Linked DNA regions of Cricetulus griseus. The protein of the gene in region 1 purifies or fractionates together with the protein of each later gene. This does not show direct contact. Links are inferred from orthologs where the notes say so. Each region holds a gene or a part of one and is shown in the gene's direction. Other genes may lie near its edges. The genes, in order: Srrm2, Eif4a3 and Pnn.

The links.
Region 2: the proteins of Srrm2 (region 1) and Eif4a3 purify together in Homo sapiens (affinity purification with mass spectrometry; 3 studies listed by BioGRID and IntAct, with this or other methods). This does not show direct contact. The link is inferred for Cricetulus griseus from reciprocal best matches to the Homo sapiens genes SRRM2 and EIF4A3.
Region 3: the proteins of Srrm2 (region 1) and Pnn purify together in Homo sapiens (affinity purification with mass spectrometry; 3 studies listed by BioGRID and IntAct, with this or other methods). This does not show direct contact. The link is inferred for Cricetulus griseus from reciprocal best matches to the Homo sapiens genes SRRM2 and PNN.

Annotation. Positions count from the first base shown.
Region 1 is NC_048600.1:43,323,047-43,326,693, forward strand, and holds part of Srrm2 (serine/arginine repetitive matrix protein 2), read left to right. Parts: intron 1-933; 5' UTR 934-963; coding exon 964-1,205; intron 1,206-2,039; coding exon 2,040-2,147; intron 2,148-2,336; coding exon 2,337-2,501; intron 2,502-3,647. UniProt on the Homo sapiens protein: Required for pre-mRNA splicing as component of the spliceosome. As a component of the minor spliceosome, involved in the splicing of U12-type introns in pre-mRNAs.
Region 2 is NC_048600.1:131,838,060-131,842,418, reverse strand, and holds the start of Eif4a3 (eukaryotic initiation factor 4A-III), read left to right. Parts: upstream 1-1,505; 5' UTR 1,506-1,567; coding exon 1,568-1,736; intron 1,737-3,593; coding exon 3,594-3,666; intron 3,667-4,359. UniProt on the Homo sapiens protein: ATP-dependent RNA helicase. Involved in pre-mRNA splicing as component of the spliceosome. Core component of the splicing-dependent multiprotein exon junction complex (EJC) deposited at splice junctions on mRNAs.
Region 3 is NC_048598.1:143,470,535-143,473,905, reverse strand, and holds the end of Pnn (pinin), read left to right. Parts: intron 1-200; coding exon 201-1,588; 3' UTR 1,589-2,767; downstream 2,768-3,371. UniProt on the Homo sapiens protein: Transcriptional activator binding to the E-box 1 core sequence of the E-cadherin promoter gene; the core-binding sequence is 5'CAGGTG-3'. Capable of reversing CTBP1-mediated transcription repression.

The DNA of each region.
Region 1 (3,647 bases):
TACGAAGTTTGAAGGTTTCTAGACACTTGTAAAGAAAGTATGGAAACAGTTGGAACAGAGAAAAATGGTTTTATGTATTTAGACTATCAAGTTAAAAAACAGACAATATTTAACAAGAGCTAGCCAGACTTGGAGGAGCTGCAAGCTATGTGGTAAACCTTACTGGGAAGAAAACTAAAATAATAAAATCACTGTAGTTGGTAGGAGCTTTGAATATTTGGAATCAAAGAGAATGGAGATGGCTCACCTTCCCCATATGAAGTATAAGCTCATGTATCCACGTTTCCTCTGTTTCTGATCTTGCTTGCCAGTAGTTTGGGTGTGAGACTGCATAGGACATTTGGTTTATGTTACTAGTCAGTTTACCTATTTAGATACCCAAGACTGTTTAATCCATTTCTTGTTTGTTTAAGGTAGCCTAAATACTTATTCTCTTGGGAGGAGTCTTTGAAAATGGACTTTAGGTGCTTCTGATTGATCTATGGTGTTTGTTGTGCCATTTTGAGAACTTGGTTACCAATAGTTATATTCAGAGTGCTTGATGAAGATACCATTTGTGTGTATTGTGTGGCCAGAGAAGAATAAAGGATTAGTGTGGAGAGATTTGAGACAACATGGATTCTTGATTGGTTAGGGTGTAGAAAGGAAAATAAAAGTACAAAGAATGGCTTTAGAATTTGGTGAAAGTATATTGTGAGAAAAGATTTAAAAGTAGGTGGTGATTTAGTGGAAAGGATGAAGTGTGGGGAGGATAAAGGGAGGGTTTTGTTTGCAGACTAGTGGAATGAGGAAACATCATTTTGCTAATGGAGATTCAGTGTGAGACTAATTAAGTATTGAACTAAAGGCTAAGAGAGCCAGGGATGTGGGAGATGTGGTAAGTAGTTAGATTGGGGTCAGGAGCCTGACTGGTGTCTCCCCGCTCCCCCTCAGGAGCGGTGGTGCCCCCCTGGGCACAGGGCCATGTACAACGGGATCGGGCTGCCGACGCCCCGGGGCAGCGGCACCAACGGCTACGTCCAGCGCAACCTGTCCCTGGTGCGGGGCCGCCGTGGTGAGCGGCCTGACTACAAGGGAGAGGAGGAACTGCGGCGCCTGGAGGCTGCCCTGGTGAAGCGGCCTAATCCTGACATCCTGGACCACGAGCGCAAGCGGCGCGTGGAGCTGCGATGCCTCGAGCTGGAGGAGATGATGGAAGAGCAGGGGTGAGGGAATGGGTGGGGAGAAGCCAAGCACTGAGTGAGTGCTTAGTTGGGTGTTAGGTGGGATGTGTGGAAAGAAACTGGAGCAGGTTGACAGAGTCCTAAAAAGGAGTTGTAAGGGAGAAAGAATGAGCTTGAAGAATCAAGAGTCATGGGTCAGTGCATGGTGGGGATGTCAAGGAAACTGTTTGGAGCAGTGATAGCTAAGGGGGTCTGAATTATTTAGCTGAATTTATGAAGGGGAAGGGGGCCAAAAATGTGCTGTATAGGAAAGTAGCATCAGGCAGAAGAGCTAGGTAACCTGATAGGTGTTGTTATTGGAAGGAAGAGAAAGGTAGGTGGATTTAAGGGATTTCGGCTGTGGAAGGTGGCAAAGGCAGAAGATTGGAATTGAAAGAGTGGATATCATGAGCTTGGCAGAGAAGTGAAAATTTGGAAAAGGAGCACATTCAGGTAGAAACCTGTTTAGAGCAGTGGTTTTCAAACTTGAGCAATGGTATCCTTTTATATATTATGCTTTCTTTGAAGTCCCAGGAAATAAAAGATCTATTTGTGTTGAAGTTGGGAAAGGAGCACTGGGAACTATGCCAGCAAGCAAACTGTCCTCTCTTGGCCCCTGAATTGTAGCATGTTTAAAATCCACTGTTCTAGAGAGAATAGTGTAGAAAAGGAAGGAAGGGTCAAGGGGAAAGATAAGGAAAACTTACGGAAATTTTGAGTTACAATACTGTGTGAATGGAGAAGGTAAAAGGACCGTGTTGGAAAAGGAAGCAATTATAAATTGGGACTTGGGAAAACCCCTGTCAAGCTCTAACCATGAAGGGATTTATCCTTCAGGTACGAAGAACAGCAGATTCAGGAGAAAGTGGCGACCTTTCGACTCATGTTGCTGGAGAAGGATGTGAACCCTGGGGGTAAGGAAGAAACCCCAGGGCAGAGGCCAATGTAAGTGTTTTTCTCTTAGTTCTTTGGAGTCTATGATATTATAGCTATGGCTATCCTTTCTAAAAAGGACCTGGGATTGGGTTTTGCCTTCGTAGCTGTTTGACTCATCTTTATAATTAAGTTCTAAATTGGGGCTCTTACTTGTTCCCTGTATGTCTCCTTCAGATTTGGGCCTTTTTTCCCCTCCAGGGTAACTGAGACCCATCAGTTGGCAGAACTGAATGAGAAGAAGAATGAGAGACTCCGTGCAGCCTTTGGCATCAGTGATTCCTATGTGGATGGCAGTTCTTTTGATCCTCAGAGACGTGCTCGAGAAGCTAAACAAGCAGTTCCTGAGCCCCCCAAACCATACAGGTACTCAGAGAAGCCTGGATCTGCTTTCTTGTTAAAAGTATTGTATTATTACTAATAGACTACTACTATTTTTTTTTTATTTTTTGGCCTGAGATAGGGTTTCACTATGTGACTCTGGCTGTCCTGGAATTCACTCTGTAGATCAGGCTAGCTGCCTTCCTCTACCTCTCCAATGCTGAGGTTAAAGGAGTGTGCCACTATTCCTTTCCAAAGTTTTTAGATTTTGTTGTCTTTAGGTCAAATTTTTATTTTTGTGTGTATGGTTGTTTTGCTTGTATTTGTTTTTGTGCCGTGTGTCTGGTGCCCCTGGAGGCCAGAAGAGGCATTAGATCCCCTGGTGGTAGAGTTACAGATGGTTGAGTGTTTGCCTTGGTGCTCAGAAAGGAACCCAAGGTCCAATGGAGAGCAGCCAGGGTTTATAACTGCTGACCTAGTCACTCCCCCCCCCCTTTTTTTTTTTTCTTTGACACAGGGTTTCTCTGGCTTTCGAGGCTGTCCTGGAACTAGTGTTTGTAGACCAGGCTGGTCTTGAACTCACAGAGATCCACCTGCCTCTGCCTCGAAAGTGCTGGGACTAAAGGCGTGCGCCACCCCCCACCCTCCTGCTTCTAGCCCCTGTTTTTGTTTTTTTAAATAATTAAGATATGTGTGGTGGTACACACCTTTTATCCCACCACTCCAGGCACATCTCTGATTTTGAGGCCAGCCAGGGTTAGCTACATATTAAGGACCCTGTCTCAAAACAATTTAATGAAATCAGATGTGATACACACATTTAATCTCAACACTTGGGAGGCAGAGGCAAGAGGATCTCTGGGAGTTGAGGCTAAGTTGCTCTACATAGGTAGTTCCAAGACAGTCAGGGAGGGCTATATAGTAAGATTTGCCTCAAAATAGAATCTCTCTCCCCATCCCTCCCTCCCCTCACCCACTCTTCCACTCCCCCCCATCTCTCTCTCATACACACACACACACACACACACACACACACACACACTAGGACCTAGATACACAACCACTTTTAAATTTACATTTTTTTTTTTTTTTTCAAGACAGGGTTTTTCTAGCCCTGGCTGTCCTGGAACTCACTCTGTAGACCAGGCTGGCCTTGAACTCAAAGAGTTCTGCTTGAGCCTGCCTCCCCAG
Region 2 (4,359 bases), about 89 Mb from region 1:
CTGATTAATATCACATACATTTGACAAATCCGGACAAACCGGAGCAGGAGCCAGGCTCGCAAGAGAAGGCGGCAGGAACTTGTTTTAGCGCGGGTATCTTGCAACCCGCAACTTCTCCAGAAACGGACAGTTTGCTTCTAACCACTGGACATAAACGATTTCCATTTTTATGGGAGCTTTTAAAGACTCGTGTGTGTGTGAGTGTGTACTGTGTGTGTATATATATGTGTGAGTACACGTGAGTGTGTACACGTGTATATGTGTGTACACATGTGTGAGTGTGTACACGTGTGTGAGTATGCACACGTGTGAGTGTGCACACGTGAGAGTGTGTACACGTGAGTGTGTGTGAGTACACGTGTGTGAGGGTGTACACATGAGTGTATGAGTGTGCACACATGTGTCTGTTTACACACGAGTGAGTGTGCACACGTGAGAGTGTGTACACGTGAGTGTGAGTGTGAGTACACGTGTGTGAGGGTGTACACATGAGTGTATGAGCGTGTACACATGTGTGTACACATGTGTGTGAGTGTACACATGCGTATGTACACGTGTATGTGTGTATATATGTGTGTGTACACACGAGTGTGTGAGTACACGTGTGTGTGCACACATGTGTGAGTGTGCACACGTGTCTGTTTACACACGAGTGTGAGTGTGCACACGAGTGTGCACACGCGAGTGTGTACACGTGAGTGTGAGTACATGTGTGTGAGAGTGTACACATGAGTGTGAGTGTGTACACATGTGTGTACACATGTGTGTGAGTGTACACATGCGTATGTACACATGTGTATGTGTGTATATATGTGTGTGCACACATGAGTGTGAGTACACGTGCGTGAATGTGTACACGTGAGTGTGTACACATGTGTGAATGTGTACACGTGTGTGTGTACACATGTGTGAATGTGTACACGTGTGTGTGTACACATGTGTGAGTGTGTACACATGAGCGTGTACACATGTGTGAGTGTGTACACATGAGCGTGTACACATGTGATGTGTGTATATATGTGTGTGTACACATGAGTGTGAGTGTGCACACGTGAGTGTGTGAGTACACGTGTGTGTGAGTGTGCACACATACAGGAGGGTCTCGTTAGTCACTCTTGGCAGTTGAGTGTCCTCCAGGTGTAAGCGAGCGTTTCCCAGGAACACACTCACGTGGGGCACAGCCAGACACACGGCTCTGGCTGCGCAGACGCGCGGGGGACGGGGTTGCCATGGCAACGCGGGCGGGGGCGGTGCTGAGCGAGGGCGTCCCTCACGCCGCGTCCCCGGGGACCCCGCGCCCCTGCCCGGAGCCTCCTAAACCCCACAGCGCGCACCGACGGCGCGGGGGCACATCACGCGGCTGCGCTGGATCTCGCGAGAACGGGAGCGGCGCCCACGCCCGGCGCCGCGCTTCCCGCTTCCGCCACACCAGGCGCCTCCCGCCTCTGGGAGGGCCGTGTCGCTCCGTGGTGGCGTCACTTCCTGCCTCCCGCGCCGGCGCCGGCGTCGGAGCCCTGCTTCCGGTTCCCGCCGCGGCTCGCGCTCGGCGCTCGGCGGAGTCGGAATCATGGCGGCCGCGGCCACGATGGCGACGTCGGGCTCCGCGCGGAAGCGGCTGCTCAAAGAGGAGGACATGACCAAGGTGGAGTTCGAGACCAGCGAGGAGGTGGACGTGACCCCCACGTTCGACACCATGGGCCTGCGGGAGGACCTGCTGCGCGGCATCTACGCCTACGGTGGGCGCGGGCCTCGCGGCGCGGGGAGGCCGGGCGGGGTGGCGGAGAAGGTGCGAGCCGCTCGGAGCGCAGGCCCGGCTCTCCCGCGGGCCGCCCAGCCAGGCTCGCCCGGTCGCTGGGGTGGCGGCAGCCGAGTGCGAGCCCGCCCCGGGCCCCGAGGCCGTGGGTCCCGCAGGGTCGGGCCTTGCGGGGTTTCAGCCCCGTTAGGGCCGCGGACAGTTAGAGGAGAGCGAGCCCCGGGGCGCACGGAGGACGCCCGCGGCCAGGCTGTGAGAGGTGTGGTGAGACTCGCTCCTAGACCACCCCGAAGCCTCTGCAGTTGAATGCGGAAAGGCGGTAGGGTCGGGTTTGCCGTTTGAACGTTTAGTTTGGTGTCCGGATTTGGAGGGAAGCGAGTTGGAGGAGGAGGCGGGACGATGTCCGGGCCGCAGAAGAAGGGATGCTGGGGATGCTTTGGGGCTGAAGGGTCTGCTGGTGGCAGTGGCAGGCAGAGTGCAGCCCTGCGTCATGTGGCTGCTGTGTGCTTAGGAGCATTTGAGGGAGGCTGCGCTCTGTCTGTTTTGTTAGGTTTTGTTCTTTCCAGACCTGGGGAAGGGGTGTCTTCATGGTAGCCCTGGCTGCCCTGGAACTCTTTGCAGACCAGGCTGGCCTCAGACTCAGAGATCTACCTGCCCCTGCCTCCCAGATGGTGCTTTTGTTCTTTTTTTTTTTTTTTTTTTTTCTTTTTGGGACAGGTTTTCTCTCTGTAGCTTTGTAGACCAGCTGGCCTCGAATTCACAGGCCTCCTGAGTGGTGGGATTAAAGGCCTGCACCACCATATCTCCCCCCCACCCTTGTTTTGTTTTTGAAGCAGGGTCTCTACATAGCCCTAGCTGAACTGGAACTCACTATGCAGACGGGGAAGGTGGGTCTTCCCACTTTAAATGGTTTTTAGTTAATTCCAGATGCAGTCAAATTGACCACTAAGATAACCATCATAGGTATTGTGTTGAATTGGGAAGGTGTGCTAGCTACAACCTTTTGGGGAGGGCGGTTGTTTTGAGACAGGGTTTCTCTGTGGCTTTGGAGGCTGCCCTGGAACTCAGGCTTGTAGACCAGGCTGGTCTCGAACTCACAGAGATCCAGCCTCCCAAGTGCTGGGATTAAAGGTGTGAGCCACCACTGCCCAGCTGCTAGCTTAAAGTATAAAAATGAACTATAAGGCCGGGCGTTGGTGGCGCACGCCTTTAATCCCAGCACTCGGGAGGCAGAGGCAGGCAGATCTATGTGAGTTTGAGACCAGCCTCGTCTACAAGAGCTAGTCCCAGGACAGCCTCCAAAGCCACAGAGAAACCCTGTCCCGAAAAACAAAAAACAAACAAACAAAAAAAAGAACTATAGCTTTTCAATGTAAGTTTTGTCTGCCTCTTGAGTGCTGGGATTTAGGGAGTGCACAACCATGCCTCGTCTGTCTAGGGGTGGTGCCTAGATAATGGGGCTACAGCCAGGTGAGAGCAGCATGCGGTGCCCACGTCATGCTGGGGACGGCAGGCAGCAAGTGGATTGGAGTGCTCGCCAGTAGGAAAGGGAGCAACCTCTGTGCTTCTGGATTTATGACTTTTATCGCAGAGGGGGTTTCATGTGGCTTAGGCGGACCTGGGACTCCTGGTGCTCCTGCCTCTACCTTCTCAGTGCTGCTCTGTAGACACTGTCCTCACAGGTCATCTTCCAGGCCAGTCTGTAAGGCGTGGTTCACCTGGCGGCCTGGGCTGGCAGTAAGAAGCCTGTATGTATGTGTGCCCCCAGGGAGCCTGTGCTGTGTGGTGTCTACGCTGTCACAGTATGAGGGCTGAGTCTTTTTCCTCTCTGTATTTGCAGGTTTTGAGAAACCTTCAGCGATCCAGCAGCGTGCTATCAAGCAGATAATTAAGGGGAGAGATGTCATTGCACAGTAAGTTGTGGGTGCTGAGAGCCAACTTGGGTCAGTGAGGCTGTGGGAAGATGAGTCTGCCTTGTCCTCTCTACACCCCCAGCTCAGCATTGACTTTTTTCCCTATCTAGAAAAGCCCTCCCCCCTTTTTTTTAGCCATGTATATTTTGGGAAGGTGCTTGGTGCTGTGGGTCATATCCAGGTCACTGCACATACTGAGCAACTGCTCTCCTACTCAGTGTAGATTTATGCAAGATACTTTTTTTTTAAATGTTCATTAGTGTTTTGCCTCCATATATGTCTGTGTGAGTGTGTCAGAAGCCCTGGACCTGGAGTTTCAGTCAGGTGTGACCTGCCATGTGGGTGCTGGGAATTGGACCAGGGTCCTCTGGAAGAGCAATCTCTCCAGCCCAAGATACTCTTTTAGTAGCTTTATTTTTTTTTTTTTTATTCCCCCCTCCATATGCTGGGTACTGAACTATACTCCAAACTGTTATTTGCCTTAATTTTATTTTCTTTTTTTTTCTCCTTTGGTTTTTTGAGACAGGGTTTCTCTGTATTGCTTTGAAGCCTGTCCTGGAACTTGTTCTGTAGACCAGGCTGGCCTGGAACTCAGAGATCCGCCTGCCTCTGACTCCAAAGTGCTGGGATTAAAGTGCACCACCACTGCCTGGCTTGCTTTAATTTTCAAAAGACATTTTTTTTTTTTTTTAA
Region 3 (3,371 bases), on another chromosome or scaffold:
ACATTTAGGGACTGGTAGTTTAGTTCATCTGTAGAGTGCTTGTCTAGCTTGAATAAGACCCCTGAGTTAAGTTCCCAACACTGTCTAAAAAAAAACCCCCTAGGCATATGAAAAGATGATTAGATGGTGGTGACAGTTTGTGACCTGGTTTAAAATTGTTATTTTTAATTTTCTTAACTACTGTAATTTTTATTGTTTAGCTTTATTTGAAGGTAGACGCATCGAATTTGCAGAACAAATAAATAAAATGGAGGCTAGGCCTAGAAGACAATCAATGAAGGAAAAAGAGCATCAGGTGGTGCGTAATGAAGACCAGAAGGCGGAACAAGAAGAGGGTAAGGTGGCTCAGCGAGAGGAAGAGTTGGAGGAGACAGGTAATCAGCACAATGATGTAGAAATAGAGGAGGCAGGAGAGGAAGAGGAAAAGGAAGCAGGTGTAGTTCATAGCGATGCAGAGAAAGAGCAGGAGGAGGAGGAACACAAGCAGGAAATGGAGGCTAAGATGGAGGAGGAAACTGAGGTAAGAGAAGGTGAGAAGCAACAGGATAGTCAGCCAGAAGAAGTTATGGATGTGTTAGAGATGGTTGAGAGTGTCAAAAATGTAATTGCTGAGCAGGAAGTAATGGAGACTAATCAAGTTGAAAGTATAGAACCTTCAGAAAATGAAACTAGCAAAGAATTGGAGCCAGAGATGGAGTTTGATGTTGAGCCAGATAAAGAATGTAAATCTCTTTCTCCTGGAAAAGAGAATGTTAATTCTCTGCATGTGGAAAAGGAGTCTGAGGAAAAAGAGGAAAAAGAAGATAAAGAACCTGAGCCCCAACCTGAGCCTATGGCTCAGCTTCTGCCCCCACCTCAGCCCCTGCCCCAGAGCCAGCCCCACCCTCAGCTGCACTCTCAGCCCCAACCTGTGCTCCAGTCCCAGCCTCTCACTCAGCCTGAGACTTTGCCATTAGCAGTTTTGCAGCCTCCACCTCAGGTTATTCAGGAGCAAGGGAATCTACTGCCTGAGCGGAAGGATTTTCCTATAGAGTCTATAAAACTCCCTGAGATGCCTGTAGAGCCAGTCTTGACAGTACATTCAGAAAACAAAAATAAAAACAAAACTAGGAGCAGAAGCAGAGGTCGAGCAAGAAATAAGACAAGTAAGAGTAGAAGCCGCAGCAGTAGCAGCAGTAGTTCCAGTAGCAGTTCTACCAGTAGCAGCAGTGGGAGCAGTTCCAGCAGTGGCAGCAGCAGTAGTCGGAGCAGTTCGAGTAGCAGTTCCAGCACCAGTGGGAGCAGCAGCAGAGACAGCAGCAGCAGCACTAGCAGTAGCAGTGACAGTAGAAGTCGCAGTAGGGGCCGAGGACATAACCGAGATAGAAAGCACAGGAGGAGCATGGACCGGAAGCGAAGGGACACTTCAGGACTAGAAAGAAGTCACAAATCTTCCAAAGGTGGTAGTAGTAGAGATACAAAAGGATCAAAGGATAAGAATTCCCGATCTGACAGAAAAAGGTCTATATCAGAAAGTAGTCGATCAGGCAAAAGATCTTCAAGAAGTGAAAGAGACCGAAAATCAGACAGGAAAGACAAAAGGCGTTAATGGAAGAAGCCAGGCTTTCTTAGCCTATTTGCAGCAGAAGATTTGATGAGTAAAAGGATTACCTTGTAAGGAGGATGCTGCCTTAAGAATTGCATGTTGTAAAAATTCTTTTTGGAAAATACAGACTGTTTGTTTACCAGACATTCTTGTACTTTTTGCATAATTTTGTAAGAGTTATTTATCAAAATTATGTGAGGTTCCAAAATATGTAAAAATAATAATAATAAAAAAAGATTAACATCCCTTGTCATCTTTTTTAAATACCCTATTACTCTTCAGTCAGAATCTGTATATTTTAATAGGTAAATCTTTAAATTGTTCCTTTATGTTCTGTACCATACATTGCTTTTGTAGAAATAAATGTGCATCTTTCATTATTTTTGGGATGTCCTTGTTAACACTTGTATAATAAATATCTTTATATCATTTTCAGTTTGTCACAAGATACTGAACATAATTAGAATGTTTTTGAAAGTTTCATCACTTGGATTTGCCTGATAACAGTTATTTTGAGTTACCAGGTCTTTACAGCTTTGACGAGGAATAGTTCTTTTTAAGCATTTAATTATTTCCTATCTTACTATTTTAATCTAAGCATTTTCCTGTTTTCATTTAAACCATTCAGTTGGTAGATAATTTAAACAGTATAATTTGGTTGTCATTTCATGGTTATGGGAACATCATTCTCTGTCCTCACAGCTACTTGTGTGATAACAACATAGTGTATAAATCTGTCATAGTTATCACCTCCTGGGTGGTGGGGGGGAGCGGTAAAAGTATCTTCTGAACTTGGTTTTTGAATTTGTGGTCTTGTCTTTTCTGTTGACTATAACTGAAACATGCCAGTATATGTTTTCAAGAATTTTTGTTTAAGGAAGTATTGTATGGAAGTTTACACAATGAAGGAAGCTCATCTAGGCTTGACTATGTAAACTATTCAGAAGTGTACCAAGTGATCATTAACTTTGTTTATAAATTTGTATGGACTTGGAGTATCTGTTGCCCATTACTATATGTGTGCAAATAAATGTGGCTTAGACTTGTGACTGTTTAAGATTAGTACTTGTATTAACATTCCTATGCATATGAGAGCATTTAAATGGCAGTGGTTATTTTCGAGTTGATATTTCAAAATTGTAGCTTTAGCTATCTACAAGTAAACAGTGCATGAAAAATGAACAGAATCTTCATTTAGTTTTGTGTCTGTACAACCCATGTGTTAAAGCAAATGTGAAAAGAATTCTTTTTTAAAATCCTTTTCTTGTGTTAAATGAACAAAAATCAAACTATAGAACCACCTACTAGACTCGTGAACCTGTTTACACCAAGACCCGGCTTAACAATTTGTACTCTTAGCAAAACTTGATCTTGTGCTGTGCGGTGGAATAAGTTGGTAAAGGAATTGCTAAATTTAAAATGGCTGAGGAGAAAAAGAGCATACTGGGTGGGGAGAGCCTCCAAGGAAGGTATATTCAACATTTTTTACTTAAATGTGTTTTGTCTGTGTGTATGTACAGCTGCCAAGGAAGCCAGGGACATTGGATCCCTTGGAGAGTTAAAAGAGCTGCGCTGTGGATGCTGAGGCCCAAGCTTCAGTCCTCTGCTAGAGCAGTGTGAACTCATAACCATAGATGACATCAGTACAGTACGGGAATTTGGGGTATGATCCAGTGCTTAGAAAGTGCTAGGCCCTAGATGCAGCCCATTGTGTGATTCAAGGTTTGCTTGCTGCTTTTCATGATTGGCTTTCAGTCTATGCCCTTGTATTGGCTGAACACACTTC